2 linked regions of the Rhinolophus ferrumequinum genome follow. The protein of the gene in region 2 interacts with the protein of the main gene of each other region in a pairwise test. Links are inferred from orthologs where the notes say so. Each region holds a gene or a part of one and is shown on either strand. Other genes may lie near its edges.

Region 1 (7,344 bases), on a different chromosome or scaffold from region 2:
ACAGGATCTCTGCAAAAAGAAGACGAGATGCAATGTTGAAAAATGCCAACCTGATTGCAATTTTAGTCTTTGGAACACCCTGGTAAGAAACCTCGATCAGCCCACAAAACTACTACCTAGCACCGTTCTTCTAAGATGTTACTTTATCGATCTTCAACATTCCTAGCGGGAAAAATGGGGGCTTAAAATGGCTAATATCAGGGGCAGCCAGATGGCTCAGTTGGTTAGAGTGCGAGCTCTCAACAACAGGGTTGCTGGTTCAATTCCCACATGAGATGGTAGGCTGGGCCCCCTGCAACTAAGATTGAAAACAGCAGCTGGACATGGCTGAGCTGTGCCCTCTACAAGTAGATTGAAGGACAACGACTTGGAGTTAATGGGCCCTGGAGCAACACACTGTTCCCCAATAAAATAAAAAAAATTAAAATTAAAAAAATTTGCTAATTTCATACGTGATGATTAAGTCCCTGAAAAAAATTGTGATTAAAAAAAGTTTCTGATTCATAATCCATAAATACAGTAAAGACCAGTGTAAGATGAGGGACCCTGTAGCCTTGGACCTTGGAATAAACCTGCATGCACGGTCAGCCCTAACTTAAAATTAGACTGACAAGAGAAGTGAGCCCAAGCCTATTGCCTGAAAAGGAGGTAAAGGGGATACTGAACCCTCAATGTCACTCCTTAAGTTCCCAATAGGTAGGGTCTAAGACGTCACATCCAGGACCCAGCTGATGTGACCTGGCCTCTGGCTAACTGCCCATGGTGACCACAAACAAGTATGCAGTTTAAAAGGCAGTGATCGTTTACAATTTAAATGTGATTGAACAATGGTTCTTCCCTACTACATAGGCTGAGGCAGGTGTGTGTTTTAAGTTCATTGCCCTGATTCTTTCAACCTATACTAATAAATGGGTAGGCCTTAGCCTAAGGTCTGACAACTGATTCACTGGCGATTTTTTAAAGTTTTGAAATTGTCCACCTTTAAGTCCATATTTTGGATTAAGCTTTTAAGCCATTTGTTTTTGGATAAGACAGTAACCTCCACCAATCAAGTAAATCTTCACTTAGAGCCTTGGATTTCCTTGCCTGGGCATGGAGAGGTCGGTGACTCCATTCTTCAGACAATGGGACTTCATGGCCTCTAAACTCTTCTGTAAATTTTCGTAAGTTGGCTTGTGTGAAGCCCTTTTCTTTGTAATCTGAGTACAAAGAAAGAATTCAAACTTCTATTAGTCTAAATTGATAGCAAAAGAAAGCCATCACATTCTCCCAACATCCTGATAAAATGATGACTGCATTTTTATAGAATAGTCTAGAGCAAGGATGAAAAATAGTGTCCCGTTCAGTGATGGGAGGTCCTCAGGAAAATCCACTACATAGGGCCTAAGAAACCCAGACATTGCCACATAATAATCTTTCCTTTTCTCAAGACGCCCAGGAGGTTAACAGGCTGTGCCTACTGTCTATTGTTTTTCAGCAAGGTAGGTGAAAGTCTTTGTGCCACTTCCAAGAGATAAACTGCAAATCTCTAGTTAAAGGAAGAACCGAATACTACCTGAAAATTTCCTGTTCCGTCTATTTATTTAGAAACCATGCTTGCTTGCTTTTTGTTTTTCTATAAAAGAACAGAGAAACTGGTAGCGTCCCAAATAATACTGGGAATAACATCAGCCTTAAAGATAGCATTCATGAACCCACTCAGTGTGCTGTCCAAAACAAGCTTCTAGTGGGTTGCCTATAACTCACCCAGCACCATCACCAAGAAGCCACACTCTTTCTGGGGCCGAAAACCATTTGGACAGTGGAAGAATCTCACACTGAGGCAGAGGAAGGAAAGGAGTTAAGCGCATTTGATAGGGAAGAATGAGAGGAAAAACTCCTTTGAGCAATGTCTCGTTTCTGTCTCACTATGACTAGTTATCCCTAACTTTTTGCAAATCTTAGAACACAGACCTTTGGTTGATGTCACAATACTCTTTCCCATGGAACTAGGATGCAGCTTCATGTTCCTTTCTAACCCACAGCTCCAAATCACCACCACCACTGGATCTGAGCTGGCATGAGATCAGAGGCTTTTTGATGTCTTTGCCCGTCTAGAATGATCAACACAAATTCCGCACAGCTCCCCGGGTCACCAACCCTTACAACTCGGAGAGTTATCTTACCAAGTAATATATATATCGCCCATCTCTCTTCAGAACAGCCACTTCTCCAGATTTCTTTTCTAAGAGAAAGTTATTTCATAGAAAGGAAAATCAAAACACTTATCTCCATTCTTAGATTTTAAGAAATCTTTACAGATCTGAGTTAACCTCAGAACTGGAAATAATCTAAAGAAATCTATTGTCTCCTATGAACACTTTGCTTCTTATCAGCATTCCTAAATACTGCATTTTCTTAACTTCTACCTTCTTTAATTATGTTTTCTCAATGTTTTCCTCACCCCCTATCTTTTGTCCTGCCCTTATTTTCAAATACACCCTTATTTGTTCACTTAAAAAACTTTAATGTGTAGTTTTTTTGCCTTGAAATATTTTAGAATGTACAGCATTTTTCATTTGCCAACTGTGTGTTCATTCAATAATGATCTTTTTACATACAAAGAGCTAACGTTTAAGCGTTACAGAGACCACAGGTGTATAAAAAGGTTCCTAATTATTATGAGTTTTCAATCAAGAAAAGGTGTCATGTTTACAAATAACAATACAAAGCAATAAGAAATTGCTCTTTTAAAGGCTGGCATCAGAATTGCCAGTGGAGACCCTGATTAAGCCTGGACTGTGGTCTGAGCAACTGTTCCAGAAACTCCACATGATTCTGATACACATCTCTGATTTAAAATCATTGGTAGAAAGTGATGGGGGGGTCTATAAGGAAGCGGAGGATTCTAAACTCCTGAATGCGATATCCGTGAACAGAGGATTCTGAATGCCAAGCTAATGCCTGTGGACTTTGCTACGCACTCCAGTGTTATTAAGGGTTTCCGAGAAGTGGAGTATTATTCAGTTTTATGACAGAGGAGGAAGAGATCAGCGACTTTTACAAGAATTCAGGTTAGGTGTGATAAGGACCCAAACTAGAGACCAGTTTTGTGGAGGAAAAGCTGAATCTGATGAGTTAAAAGTACTCCGTGGTTATGAACTCGCTCTTTGCATATGTATCTTGTTTAATAATTAAAGTATTAATATAACACAGTCAAAAGAGGCTCTAGTGAGGGCAAGTTAAACTGTTTTCAAAACTCACGTTGGTTTAACAGTTCCTGCACCCCTCCAAATTTCTTCTTGAAGAGTACAGCTATCCCAGCCCCCATTCGACAATCCTCACTGATACAGTGGGCTAGAGAGTCTGTTTTGGGGCATGCAAAAAGGTCTCCTTTCACATAAGTGATCTGAAACGGGCAAAGGGAAAGAAAATGTTTTATTAGATACTGAAAAATACTACACTATTACTTTCACTTTCCTTTACTGTGTCCTCCGCCCCACCCCTCATTGAAAGCCAAATCCTCAGAATTTAAGGGGTTAACCACAATGAATTAAAGCTTGTGTAAAGAAAAGTGACAGACGGTCTCTGCCTAAGTTGTATTAGCCTTTCTGAAGTAAACCAGCTAGAGGGGGGGAAAAAGACAATTCAATTATTGGTTTAATTAAAAAGTGTTTATGCTTGTAACCTCAATTATTCTGAATTTCAGTTCACCACTAAGTTAACAGTTGTTACCCACTCTGCTTCCTTCTGGATCTTCATTAGGGCTGCCGGCCATGATACTGAGTCGGTATCTCCAGAATTAAAATGTTTCTTCAGCTACGAGAAGGGAAAAGGACAAATGCTTAGGCAGCCTGAATATATTATAGCCAGATCGCCCCGACCACCCCCTTGTTGCCCCAACTGAAAGTGAGTTCGTTCAGCCTCTGGAAGGAACACAGAAGTGCTCTGGGGCGAGGCAGCCTGCCTAGGTTCGCAGGCAGCCAGGCCCGCTAGTATTTCGCGCTTTCCTGGAGCGCCCCGCTCCGCCAGCGAAGAAAAGGCGGCCCCACGACACGCCTCCTCCTTGGCCCGCGCCCGAGGCGGGCGGATTTAGGACGGGCTCCTTAAACTCAGTAGGTTTGGCCTACAAGAAAAAGGGAGGGGCTTGGGGCCGCAACTAGGGAGTGTACGGACCAGGGGGAGTGTACTGCCCGGCCGTAGGCAAGAGGAGAGGAAAGGTGGCCTCTCAAGAAAGGCTTCCTCCCCTTTTGGGGGGTAGGGCAAGAAGTCTAGAGAAGCCTCCCATTCTCTGTTTCCTACCCTACGGCGGGTCAGCGAGGTGCAGAGCCTGTCCCGGAGTCCCGGGGGAAGGAGCGGGAAGGCTCGCTCAACGCCCCAACGTACCAGTTACCCTTCACCTGGAGTCGGCGTTACGAGGTCCCGCCCCACGGGAAAGGGCTCCAGATCCGGCCCTGGTAGGTGGGAAACAGCAGACAAGTCCAGACGCGGAGCCAATCCCGCCACAGCCCTTTAATTGCACGCACCTAAGATGGCCGCCCACTACCCGGGAGCGATGCGGAAACGAGCCCCTCTAGCTAGCTAGCCGAAACTGCACTCTTTGGTTATGGCCGCCGAACTTCCGGCGGTGAATTCTGCGGAGTCTCCTGCCGCCACCCGGGCATGCGTAACGAGACAGCCGACCTCGAGCGGGGGAAAAACGGCGCTTGCGCATTAGCCCCAGAGGTGTGTCTCCAGTGGCCGCATAGAAAGGGGTTGGAGGTTGGCAAAGAAGCTAGTTAGCGCCTGCGTAGTATTGCGTTCAGAACGGTGTTTGGAGTCGCACGGTTTGGGGCGTGCCCAGGGCGCCTGCGTATTCCTCCGGTCGGTAGTGGTACCTAATTAGGAAAGTGGGCGTGGTTTAAGGGGACGCCTGCGCAGTGCTCTTTCAACGGGGGTGGGGCGAGCCCCGAGCGGGGGGTTAGGGGGCGTGGCCTCAGAGGCGCCTGCGCGGAGGCGGTTGGAGGGAGGCCCGATTCCCCTTTGTTCGGGTTCGCCATTTTGCGAGGCAGCGGCAGTGGCGGCGGCAGCGGCGGCTGGAGCCTCTGATTGGGTTTCGGAGTCCGGTACTGGAGCCAATCAGCGCGGGCAGCGAACCGGGGGAGCGAGGCACGGTGAGTGTGAGGAGCCAATATCCAGCGGCCCAGAGCCGGCCCCAGCGCCCCGATTGGCGGGTCTCGCTGACCACTCAGGAGAGGCCCAGGCGCCCGTCGAGCCTGGGGAGTCGAGCTGAGCCTAGCCGAATGGGGTGGCTGGGGCCCCCGGCTGGGAGCCTGCGAGCGCCGCGGGGCACTCCCGGCCGAGGCCTGCAGGGGGCCGCCCCGCACGGAGATGGCGCCCCCGGGGGCAGGCACCTCGGGGTCCAAACACTTGCAGGGTGCCGGAGCCAGTTGGGGATGCGTCCCGGTTCCCCCAACTCTTAGGCCCCGGTTCTCAGGCCCCAGGCTCGGGAGTGGCGGGCTTGCCTGCCACGAATGCCCCTACGCTCAGGTACACACACGCGCACGCCTCGCTGCCTCGGCGGTTTTCTCCTGGTGGTTCCGACCTCACACTTAAGCCCGCCCTTGCTCTCTTCCCGCTCCGGCGCTCGGGACGGGACACCTCCCCCCGCGGGGCCCGCGTACCCCAGCCCTCCGTGAGCTGGGTCTGTCTGTCGCCCTCCTGGGTCCGCAGGGAAGACTGGGCAAGACACGTGCCATGACCCACAGGGCCCGAGTGCGGCGGGGAGAGGGGGCCGGCCCGCCCGCCCGCCCCCGCCGTCTCCGCGGACCGGATGGCGGGGAGGCCGTCTGCCCACTCCCCCTACCCGCTGCGTCCCTCCCAGCACGCTCGGCCCGGGTCTGCGGCCCGGCGCCGTTGCCACCCCCTTTTTGGCTCGTCATTTCCTCTAATCCCCGCCCCGCTTGCCAGGCCCGACCCGCACACCTCAGTCTTGGAGCCCAACCAGACCGTCTCCCTTTCTCCCCCGGGCGCCAAGGCCCGTCCGTTCGCTGCCTGGAACCTCACTTGGAGAAAACTGCTGGCCCTGTGCGTTCCTTTTCCCGGAGGCTGCACAGCTTGCTTACGATTTGGTTACTCATCCGTCGCTCATCGTGCGAACGCTCCTTCCCCCGAGGATGTACAATTCATTTTTCTTTCACCTTTCTGTGTCACTTTGAACGTGTCCGGCTTGACGCAGTTAGCTCAGTCCACAGCTGTCTCTTGGTTTATTTTTTTATAACATCCTTTCTAATTCCATGTTGACATGTTCTCAACAGATGTCGTGGGGTTTTCATTAGGATTAGGAGAAATACCTGTTGACAGGCAAATCTGGAGCAGTTAGTGTGGAACAGACGTACGTCTCTGTGCTGGGGTGGGAGTGGGTAAAGGTAAACGAGCACCTTCCCTGCTGGTGGAGATTGACAGGTGAACAACTAATACCTAACGGTTAGTGGAATAACGGGACCAAGTTCAGTTCTGCAAAGTACAGTACTGGTGTGTGAGCTACCAGTAGCCTCGGTGGAAGGCTTAACACAGCCACACTTCTGATGGGCCTCCAAGAAGGATGGGGTTTCTTCTAATGGGACAGAATACAGGAGCCTTGCTCACAGAGAGAAGAGCCTGGGGTGAGGCACCACATTGTGCCGTGTGCTCAGAGGGTAGACGGGAAAGGGCAGTGGGCAGCAGTGGGGACGGTTTAGGCCAGCTGGTAAAAGCACTTGTCTATCTTAGGGAGGAATATTTTGTAAGATTGGAAAAACAAACTTCGGACTTGTGGGATTCTGTCCCATAACAGTGGCTGGCTTCTTTTGGGGAACAAAGGGAATTTTCTTCCCTCAGACGTTAACAGTTTGTATTTATGTGAAGTGCCTAGTGCAATCCCTAGCACATAGATTAAGGTATGCGGTGCTGGTTTTTATAATCACATCTACTAAGCTCATACAACTACTAGGTTTCAGAAAACTCCTAGTCCAGTGCTCTTTTACTGTTAAAACTTGGGAGACCGTTTTTGTTTTCACTTTTTAGGGCGAATTTTTCATTGTTTAAATCATTTTTTAAAAATTCAGTTAATTATTATCCACGTTAAAACAAGAGGCAATTTGTCTTAGATATTTTTCAAAACACGTATGTATCTGGTGACTTGAAAACAACCACTTTTGCTAGATGTTCTAAAAGGCAGTTACAGTCTGTTTACTTTTTTGCGGACCATCTGTAGAGCCTCCACCTGTCTGCAGAGGAACTTCTTTGCCTGGAATTTTGAGAGACAGTAGTCTGGCCTCTTTCACTTGACAAATGGGGCTTTTTAGTCTTGTTTTTCATGCTGGCTCTTCATTTGGAGTACTCCAC
Region 2 (7,754 bases):
GCAGCAGCCACCTCGCCGGCGCTTGGGGCCTGGCTCATGGTCCTCAAAGCCCCTGTCAGGGAGGTCGTAGATATCATAGAGATCATGACGTCGTCCTGGGGGGACTGGGCCTGTTGAGCCCCCACCACCAGTGCTTCCTCCACCCCGAGCGTCAAACTCAAAATCCCGTTGCAGGTGACGGAACTTGCACTTGGCTCCTCTTTGGCAGTCACCCTTGAGAAAGTCCCGGCAGATAGGGACCTCCTCCTTGCCATTTGGTAGGTCAGCTGGAGAAAGGCCCAGGCCTGCTGCCACTTTCTGCCTCAACCGAGGGGGAAGCTCTCCTGTCTTCTTATAGCCGTCCTCATCCTCCTTGGAGCCATGGATGAATCGGCAGTTTGGGCGACTACACTCCTTGTTCTGGAAGTCATGGCAGAAGATGAACTCATTTTTGCTTACCCCCAAGTTGGACACCTCACTCATGTCTGGATGACGATAGCGGCAACGCTTGCCTCGCTTGCATACATTCCTCAGGAAGTCTCTACAGATGGCATCTGAGCTGGCCCCGCCACTGCCTGCCCCTGTCCCACTGGCCTCCTCGCTGCCACCGCTTCCAGGGCCTCCACCGCTGTTCCCAGTGCCGTTGGCATAGCTGTCCCGATCAGGCATCCTGGTCCCCCCCAATTCAGGGCTTTCTTCCTTTTCTTGCCACCCTTGGTGACCACTAGGAAAGAGGAGAACTGTGTCAAACAGGAGTCCTCCAGAGGCCACTCTTCCTAACTATAGAGTAGGCCGTCTGACGAGAGGCAGGACAGAGAGGCAATGGCTTTGGCGATGGAGAAGCTAAGGGATGAGAATTCTGCCTGGACTGGCTGACTTGTCAGAAGTCCCGCCCAGGCCTTTGTGCACCTGGTCTGGGTGGGAATGATTCACACTTGCTGGGCTAATGGAGAAGGGAGGGAGCTGGGGTGAAGCCACTTCGTCTCACTAATGATGACAGGCCAAGGAGGGGGCAGGGAGAGATAGTATTGGATTTTATTTCCCCTTTGAACTGACCTTATTAAAGTTGCGGAAGTGAAATTAAAACTGCTGTCGGCGTCTGACTAGGTTAGGAGAAGATTGGGAATCGTGGCCAAGGTGGGCTGGTGAGCTACTAGGGCTGTGGATAATGAGATACTGATGACAAAACTTCCCTTAACCCCTTTTCCGTGGGATTTCAGATGAGGGCTCTGTCACGTATCATATCTCTAGACCCAGGAAATCCTGAGTGAAGAGACTTGTGTCACCGGCTTGAGGTCAGTCCCTAAACTTGTCATTTTCTCAGTATTCTCTCCCAGCTCACCACCACCATCAACCCCAGTGTGGTCAGCCCCCACCACTCCATTTCAGGGGAAGAGTTCTACAGTGACAACATCTCCACTTATAGACTCCCAAGAACAAAACCATTTGTGACAAGGTCAAGGCAGGAGGAAGGAGTTAATTTCATAGGAACAAGTGACCTTACTTCGCCCATTCTATCCCCTCCTAACCCTCCATGGGAAGATACCACTGACATCTAACCACACCACTCCTCACCCCATAAAGATCCTCTTTATTTATAGACTCTATAAAAGCTTTTAAGTCTCATCTTTCCCAAGAGAGCTCTGGAATGTCAGTCCACTGCCCTGGTTCTAGCCCTCCCCTCACCCCACCCCCCACAGGACTGTGAGTCCCTGCGACCACGTGTCTGACCTCCTAAGCCTTTCCCAGGCAGTATTCAGGCTCCCCCTGCTGTTCAAATAGGAGAACTTCATATTGTTTCCCCTTGAGTATAAGGGAATCTTTCCAATTTCTCTGGCCTTCATCTCCCCCCAGCCATCGACCCCATTGCCTAGACTTTGCCTCTAGATCGCTCTAAAATGATCCAGAGGACAGAGTTACAAGAGAATCTGTAAAAGAAGAGGGGTCCTCCTCCTCCAAAGGGAGATAGTCCCAGAATAACAGAAACAATCCAGGAAGAGTAGTAAATGATACAAACTTTTACAAAAAGGGAAATGACCTGGTGAAAAATAAATGCCACTATCCAAGCCTAACCCACGTAGCAAGTCCCAGCAGACGCAGATTGTCAGATATGATACTCATCCCCACCCAACTCGCCCAGGATTGTTCAATACCTGAGGTAGCTCAGGTGAAGTCCGGGGCTCCTGTGGGTCTCCACCTCCACATCACTGCTGGGTTCTGAACAGGAAAAAAAAAAAGAGAGAGATTTGGACGGGAGAAAGGGTAAGAATGGAGAACTATAGGGTGTTGTTACAAGAAAGACTGACAAAATGGCAAGAGCTCTGGGCACATCAACATTTCCTCAGGGTTCCAACTGAACTTCACCGGTCAAAGGGAGAAGTTGCCAGAACGAATTTGGAGAGCCTAGGAGGACGGGTTGGAAAACCAGCTCTGAGCGAACAAAGGTGAGGGGAGCCCTGCCTCAAGTTGGAGGAGGATGTGGGGGTCAGAGCTTGGCCTAGGGCTGGAGTTAGGAACTCTGAACAGGGAGCAATGCAAGGACAGCGACTGGCAGTGCAGTGAGATGACAGATTAGACTTGGAGGCGGTGATTATGAAGCTTCGCAACACCCCAGAGTTTGTGAAAAAAGTCCTAGGAGTTTCCCACAGCAAATCTAGCTTGGCAGGTTCTGTACAGTGCCACAGAGCTCAACCATGGGACAGGTGAATAGGACATTAAGGGAGTACGAAGTGAAGCAGGGAGAGGGACTCCAGATGACATCAAGCTGAGGGGATGGGCAGGGCTGTGACGTCACGGAGCAGGCGTTTGCTCGGGAAGCGGGGTCAGTCAGAAAAAGGGCTCGGCCCTGGGGCATGAGGAACAACCAGCTCGGTCCTGGGGGGCCTTGTGTAGCCCGGCAGAGCCCAGCCGCTGGGCCGGCCCCGACTCCTCCCCTCCGGGCGCGGCCTCCACCTAAGTCTCCCGCCTCCCTCACCTGCCGCCGCCGCCGTAGTTGCTGCTGCCGCCTGCCGGTCCTCTAGCTTCGACAAAGAGCTGCCCACTCTATCGCCCTTCCGCTTCCTGCGGAAGAAACGACACTCTAGCCACCAGACCCGGAACTATACTCTATGGTGTACGAAATACTGGCGCGACAAGCCGCAGGAAGTCCCAGCAAGCTTTGCGTGTCACCATGGCAACCCAACCCAACAGCACAGTAAAGGACCCAGAAAGTATAATTTAACGTAGGCCTAAACACGGGAGTAGGGGCGGAACCACGGTTTGCCCATAACCGTCTCGACATCTGTCCCCAGACGTCCATTACACCCTTTTCAGGATGATCTACCCATACTTTTTAATTAACTCCCGAGGGCCAGGGACCAGATGTTGGCTAGGGGTGTAATCAACGCCCCTTCCCGCCCCCAATGTAGCCTAATGCAAGGGCCGACTGTACTGATACAAGTCCACCAGCCAATGGAACCATAAAAACCACAAAACACAAGACTTTGTTTCTTCAGCTAAGACAGCAGATGATTTATTGTACACATTACATTCAGCCACAACTGAGAACAGAACTTGTCCAGAATGTCACAGGTCCAGAGCAAAGGACTCTTTTGTACGAGCCAAGTGGGTTTCTCAAAAGGTGGTAGCGGGGAACAGATGGCAATGTATGTTCTAGATCCATTGAGAAGTCCTAGATATTAGGCATGCAGTCCAACAATTTGTTGCAGTATCCCTGGCCTCTGGCTTTCCTCATTTCTGCTCCTGTGGCTTCCACCGGTGTACAAGCTAGCGGTTTACTTGGACCTCTGCCTCATCTTTCTTCTTTTGCGCTTCAGCCTGAAAAGCAGACACGGGAGTACACTTCCTGCCCATAAACCCGAGGTTCACTCTTTCCCTCCCATCTTAAACGTACATACGATACGCAGGGTGATAAAACGATCATGCACTCCATTCTACTGTCTTGTGTCCAATCCCTGGCTCTGACAAGTCAATTCTCAAAACATTTTCCACCTAAGTTCACCAAATGTTCCTCCCAAGCTTTGACCCAAGGCACGCTCCACTTCCCTCCTCCCGTGCCAGCAGTCTCAACATACCTGCGCATTCGCTTCTTCCTCCACTGGCAACCGATCATAACCAGAGACAAGGAATAAAACAAAAGGTCATTAGTTTTAGAATCAGGATTAGGTAGGGATGTGAAGAGCGTTATTTAGAACCAGGCAAGTTCTTGACCAAACATGAGGGCTCAGTCTCAGTAATTACATCAACAATTTGGCCTCCCAACCCAACACCCCAAAGTAAACACCGAATCCCGCGTGCGCTCCTCCACTCCCCACTCTCCACACAACACTTACCCAACCAGCTCCGCTTCTCCCCAAACTATCCTTCATCTCCCACTAGGTCTTGGCACCCTTGAGAACCCATCGGTTCAGGGAATCATGGCGGACTTCCCGTGCCTGGGTCTCCACCCCCAGCCATCAATTACTGCAGCCTCAGCTCACTACCAGGAACTGCTTACCTTGGCTCTCATGGCGCGGAGGTATCTACGGGTAAAGAGAAAAAGGCCACAGTTAGTTTGCCGTAACGATGGCAAGGGCAGAGACGAGATGTTAATGGATTGTACCCGAAGTCCGCACACAGGCCGCACACTCACCCAAGAAGATGACGCTAAGGCCGAGAGAGCGCTAAGCGCCCGCCTACCGCCATTTAAGGGAGCACTCAGTGTCGTCACTTCCTTTGCCTCGCCCTACCCACCCCGGGGGCGGGGCTGCCCAAGGGGAGTAACAATGGCTTCCGGCCCTTCTCAGGTGCATAAGTGATTTAATTCCTTTGGAAAGCAGTATTTTTGAGTTACAAAATTCCCCCTTCCGTTTTATTATGAGGACATTGTATTATTTAAACGTGAGCACCTATTTCCAATATGGGACCTAGAGGTGCAGACGAGCAAAACACAGCGATTTCCGTCTTCCCTCTCATTGCTTCATGGGAGTTGCAGTTTCCTTGGCGACACCCTCCATTTTATTATGGATGGGTGCAGACTGTACAAAAATGTTTTACTGGTTTGCCTTATTTTCCAAACTAAATTGCTGCAGGGAGAGTCGATCGCGGAACCTCCGAATGTCCTAAGGTTCCAGAACACGGAAGAATGTAAAGTTGGGGAGTTAAGTAAGCTGTCATACTACAAAAAAAACCCCAAACTGTCAGTATTGTAAACTTTCCAACTATGCTCTCCCCCCACAATACCTGAAGCAGAATGTCACAATGTATGTTGGTCACAATGTATCTTGTTCAAAAGATACTTCAGTGATCCTCCCTACCTGGTGGTAAGGATCAAGCCAATGGAGAGGGGAAGATCAGATCTTCTCTAGGGCAAGGGTGGTATGTGGTATTAAGATAAATAACTTCCCAGTCTCAGGGTACAGACATGTCAGAAGCCCTTGGTAAATAAAATACCCAAAGATTTGGCTACAGTGAACGAATTCTGAAGAATGGAGAAGAATCCTTAACCACTGACTTCACCTTATTCACTTTGATACTTTATAGTTTTTATAATCCCTCCTGTGTGGTGGTTTCCCTTTATAATTTATTCAATAACATGTCACCATTTAACTATTAAAGTAAGGTTTTTAAAAAGTTGGGGCCCTTGTTCCAAGTGCTTAAGAAGTTCTAGTATTTTCACCATCAGAATATAACAAGTTTTTGAAGACAAAAATAAAAACCCTAGCACAATTATTTTATGTTGTCCCCCAGGATTTCACCTGTTGATTGTCCACTCGTCTATAAGCTCTTATGAAGAGTCGTGTTTTGTTTCACTGTAGTATCTACAGATCTGCATGCCTCACGTGTAAGATTGAATAAATCTCAAATCTAATAAATTATTCATCTCAGGCTGGCCCTGAAAAATTGCATAATACTCAAGGAATTCTTCCTGGCTTTCTAAGTCAAGATAAACATTTGTATAGTATTTTTCGCAGTATACATAAATGTACTAATCCTGAACAAATTATCAGAAGCAAGGTTGATGTTTTCACTTTAGAAAATTTAATCATACTCACATAGAAAATTTACTATTTTAATCCAGAGAATCCAGGATTTATGTTTTTTGGGTTGGGAAGTATTCCTTGTTTTAAAAGTAGAATATATCAACAGAAAAACCGCTCCAAGTGATCATCAATCACTTCAACAGACACTCCCCAGCACTTCCAGCAAATAAGAGTAGCAAAGGCACACGAGTATGAGCAAATCCAAATTTATTTTAACACCATGTCATTTTCAACGTGTTTAAAAACCTCATAAGTTAGTGGGAGCTCTAGTTCCCTGGGACAGCATGCCAGAGGTACTGAAATTCGTCACCTTTCTCTCCAATCCCCTAGCGATTCATCCAATTCAAGTCCATAGCTTCAGAAAGCCAGGAGTTGTCTCTCCAGTCTGCTCCTCTGGTTCCTGGTCTTTCTTTCAAGGAAGGGAGGTCAAAATATTTCAAACAGGAACAAAACCACAGTTGAGGTTCCAGCTCAGGTTTGTAAGATGGAGCAAAGGAAGACCCCACTGACTCCAAAGAATTGGACAGGTTGAAATGGACTCCTCCTTTACAGCTTTGTGGGGGAAAGGGGGAAGAGTCCTGCAGAACAAAAATGACTAAAAAGATTTACAAATGAGGATCCATTTCATAGATGAGAATCCCTTGATAAGTGCAGGCTCCAGCTCCTAAAAATGGGAGGGGCCTGACCAGATAGCCTGGATCAGAAAAGGAATCTGCCACATGTGAATAAAAACAATCTGAAGAACAGTTTCTATTTTGAGGCCAGGTAACATACTTGGGGAGAGCAGTAAAAGAGAGGAACAAGCCCCAACAGATGGAAAAATGCTGACCTCGGAGTGTATAAAAAAATTTCAGCTGAATTTTTAGTGGTAGTGGCTACTTTAGCCTCCTCCCTGTTCTATTGTAGGGCCATAAACCTTGACCAAGCAGAGAGTGGTAGAAAAAGGCTAGAAAGAGGGGCTTGAAGACGATGAATTTTGACTCCTGATTTTATTATTCAATTTCTCTTTTCAATTTAAAGTAGTCTTCGGTGGCTGGGAAGCCTGGCCTCCCAAGACCAGAGTCAGTTGGAGCTGGTTGTTGTTGGAAGGGGGTTGGGTTGCGGGGCCGGGAGGGGGGCAGGGAGACCCCTGCTCTGCTGGTGGTCCTGGGTGGAGAAGACAACTGCACTTCACAGAGCCCGGGGTGTGGTGGGAAGGGGATGAGGCAGGAGCAGCAAGCTGGGGAGATGGGACCCACCTCAGTCCCCAGCTTCATTCTCTTCTAATGTTTCCCCACTGGTGGCATTCTCTGCAGTCTTGGAAGCCTATATTCGTGTAAAGAAGACTTGTCAGTTTCCAACACCTCGGGGTAGTGTCTGGGGGACCAAGGACAAAAATCCTAATTCTCTAGGTCAGGGCTGAGAAGGGGGAAAATAAGGATAAATAAGGATATACAGAAATCTACGCCCTACCACAACCCAGGAAAGTGGAAGAAAGAGGGATCCGGTTCACCCTGCCAAAGAGGGATGATCATAACATACCTTCTTTTTTTTCTTTTTCTGGGTTTTCCGACTTGCAGAACTCTGGAGGAGGGCCTGGAATATAGGAGGAAGAAGGAAAACAAATTTTGAGGAATGTAGAGGAAACAATCTTACTCTCAATATTGTAGCTCTTTTTAGAACTTTGCTGATATTTAGTTCTCACTTCCAGGACAGGTACCACGTGCTCACGACGTTCCATCCCACACTAACCTTTAGTTCTGCATCCTGGACCTC

Evidence for each region. The genes of interacting proteins can lie anywhere in the genome.
Region 1: the proteins of ZC3H10 (region 2) and NFYA interact in binary tests that used the Homo sapiens proteins (3 or more experiments, as listed by UniProt). The two-hybrid records come from large-scale screens. The link is inferred for Rhinolophus ferrumequinum from reciprocal best matches to the Homo sapiens genes ZC3H10 and NFYA.

The regions. Positions count from the first base shown.
Region 1 is NC_046286.1:10,792,041-10,799,384, forward strand, and holds the start of NFYA (nuclear transcription factor Y subunit alpha), read left to right. Parts: upstream 1-4,308; 5' UTR 4,309-4,436; exon of another isoform or gene 4,437-4,704; intron 4,705-4,985; exon of another isoform or gene 4,986-5,132; intron 5,133-5,141; exon of another isoform or gene 5,142-5,508; intron 5,509-7,344. Other genes in the region: ADP-ribose glycohydrolase OARD1, read right to left, coding at 1,087-1,199, 2,166-2,224, 3,244-3,388, 3,719-3,757. UniProt on the Homo sapiens protein: Component of the sequence-specific heterotrimeric transcription factor (NF-Y) which specifically recognizes a 5'-CCAAT-3' box motif found in the promoters of its target genes.
Region 2 is NC_046293.1:55,478,363-55,486,116, reverse strand, and holds the start of ZC3H10 (zinc finger CCCH domain-containing protein 10), read right to left. Parts: upstream 3,031-7,754; 5' UTR 2,954-3,030; intron 2,197-2,953; 5' UTR 2,133-2,196; intron 704-2,132; 5' UTR 649-703; coding exon 1-648. Other genes in the region: PA2G4 (proliferation-associated protein 2G4), read right to left, coding at 7,239-7,304, 7,521-7,574, 7,731-7,754. UniProt on the Homo sapiens protein: Specific regulator of miRNA biogenesis. Binds, via the C3H1-type zinc finger domains, to the binding motif 5'-GCAGCGC-3' on microRNA pri-MIR143 and negatively regulates the processing to mature microRNA.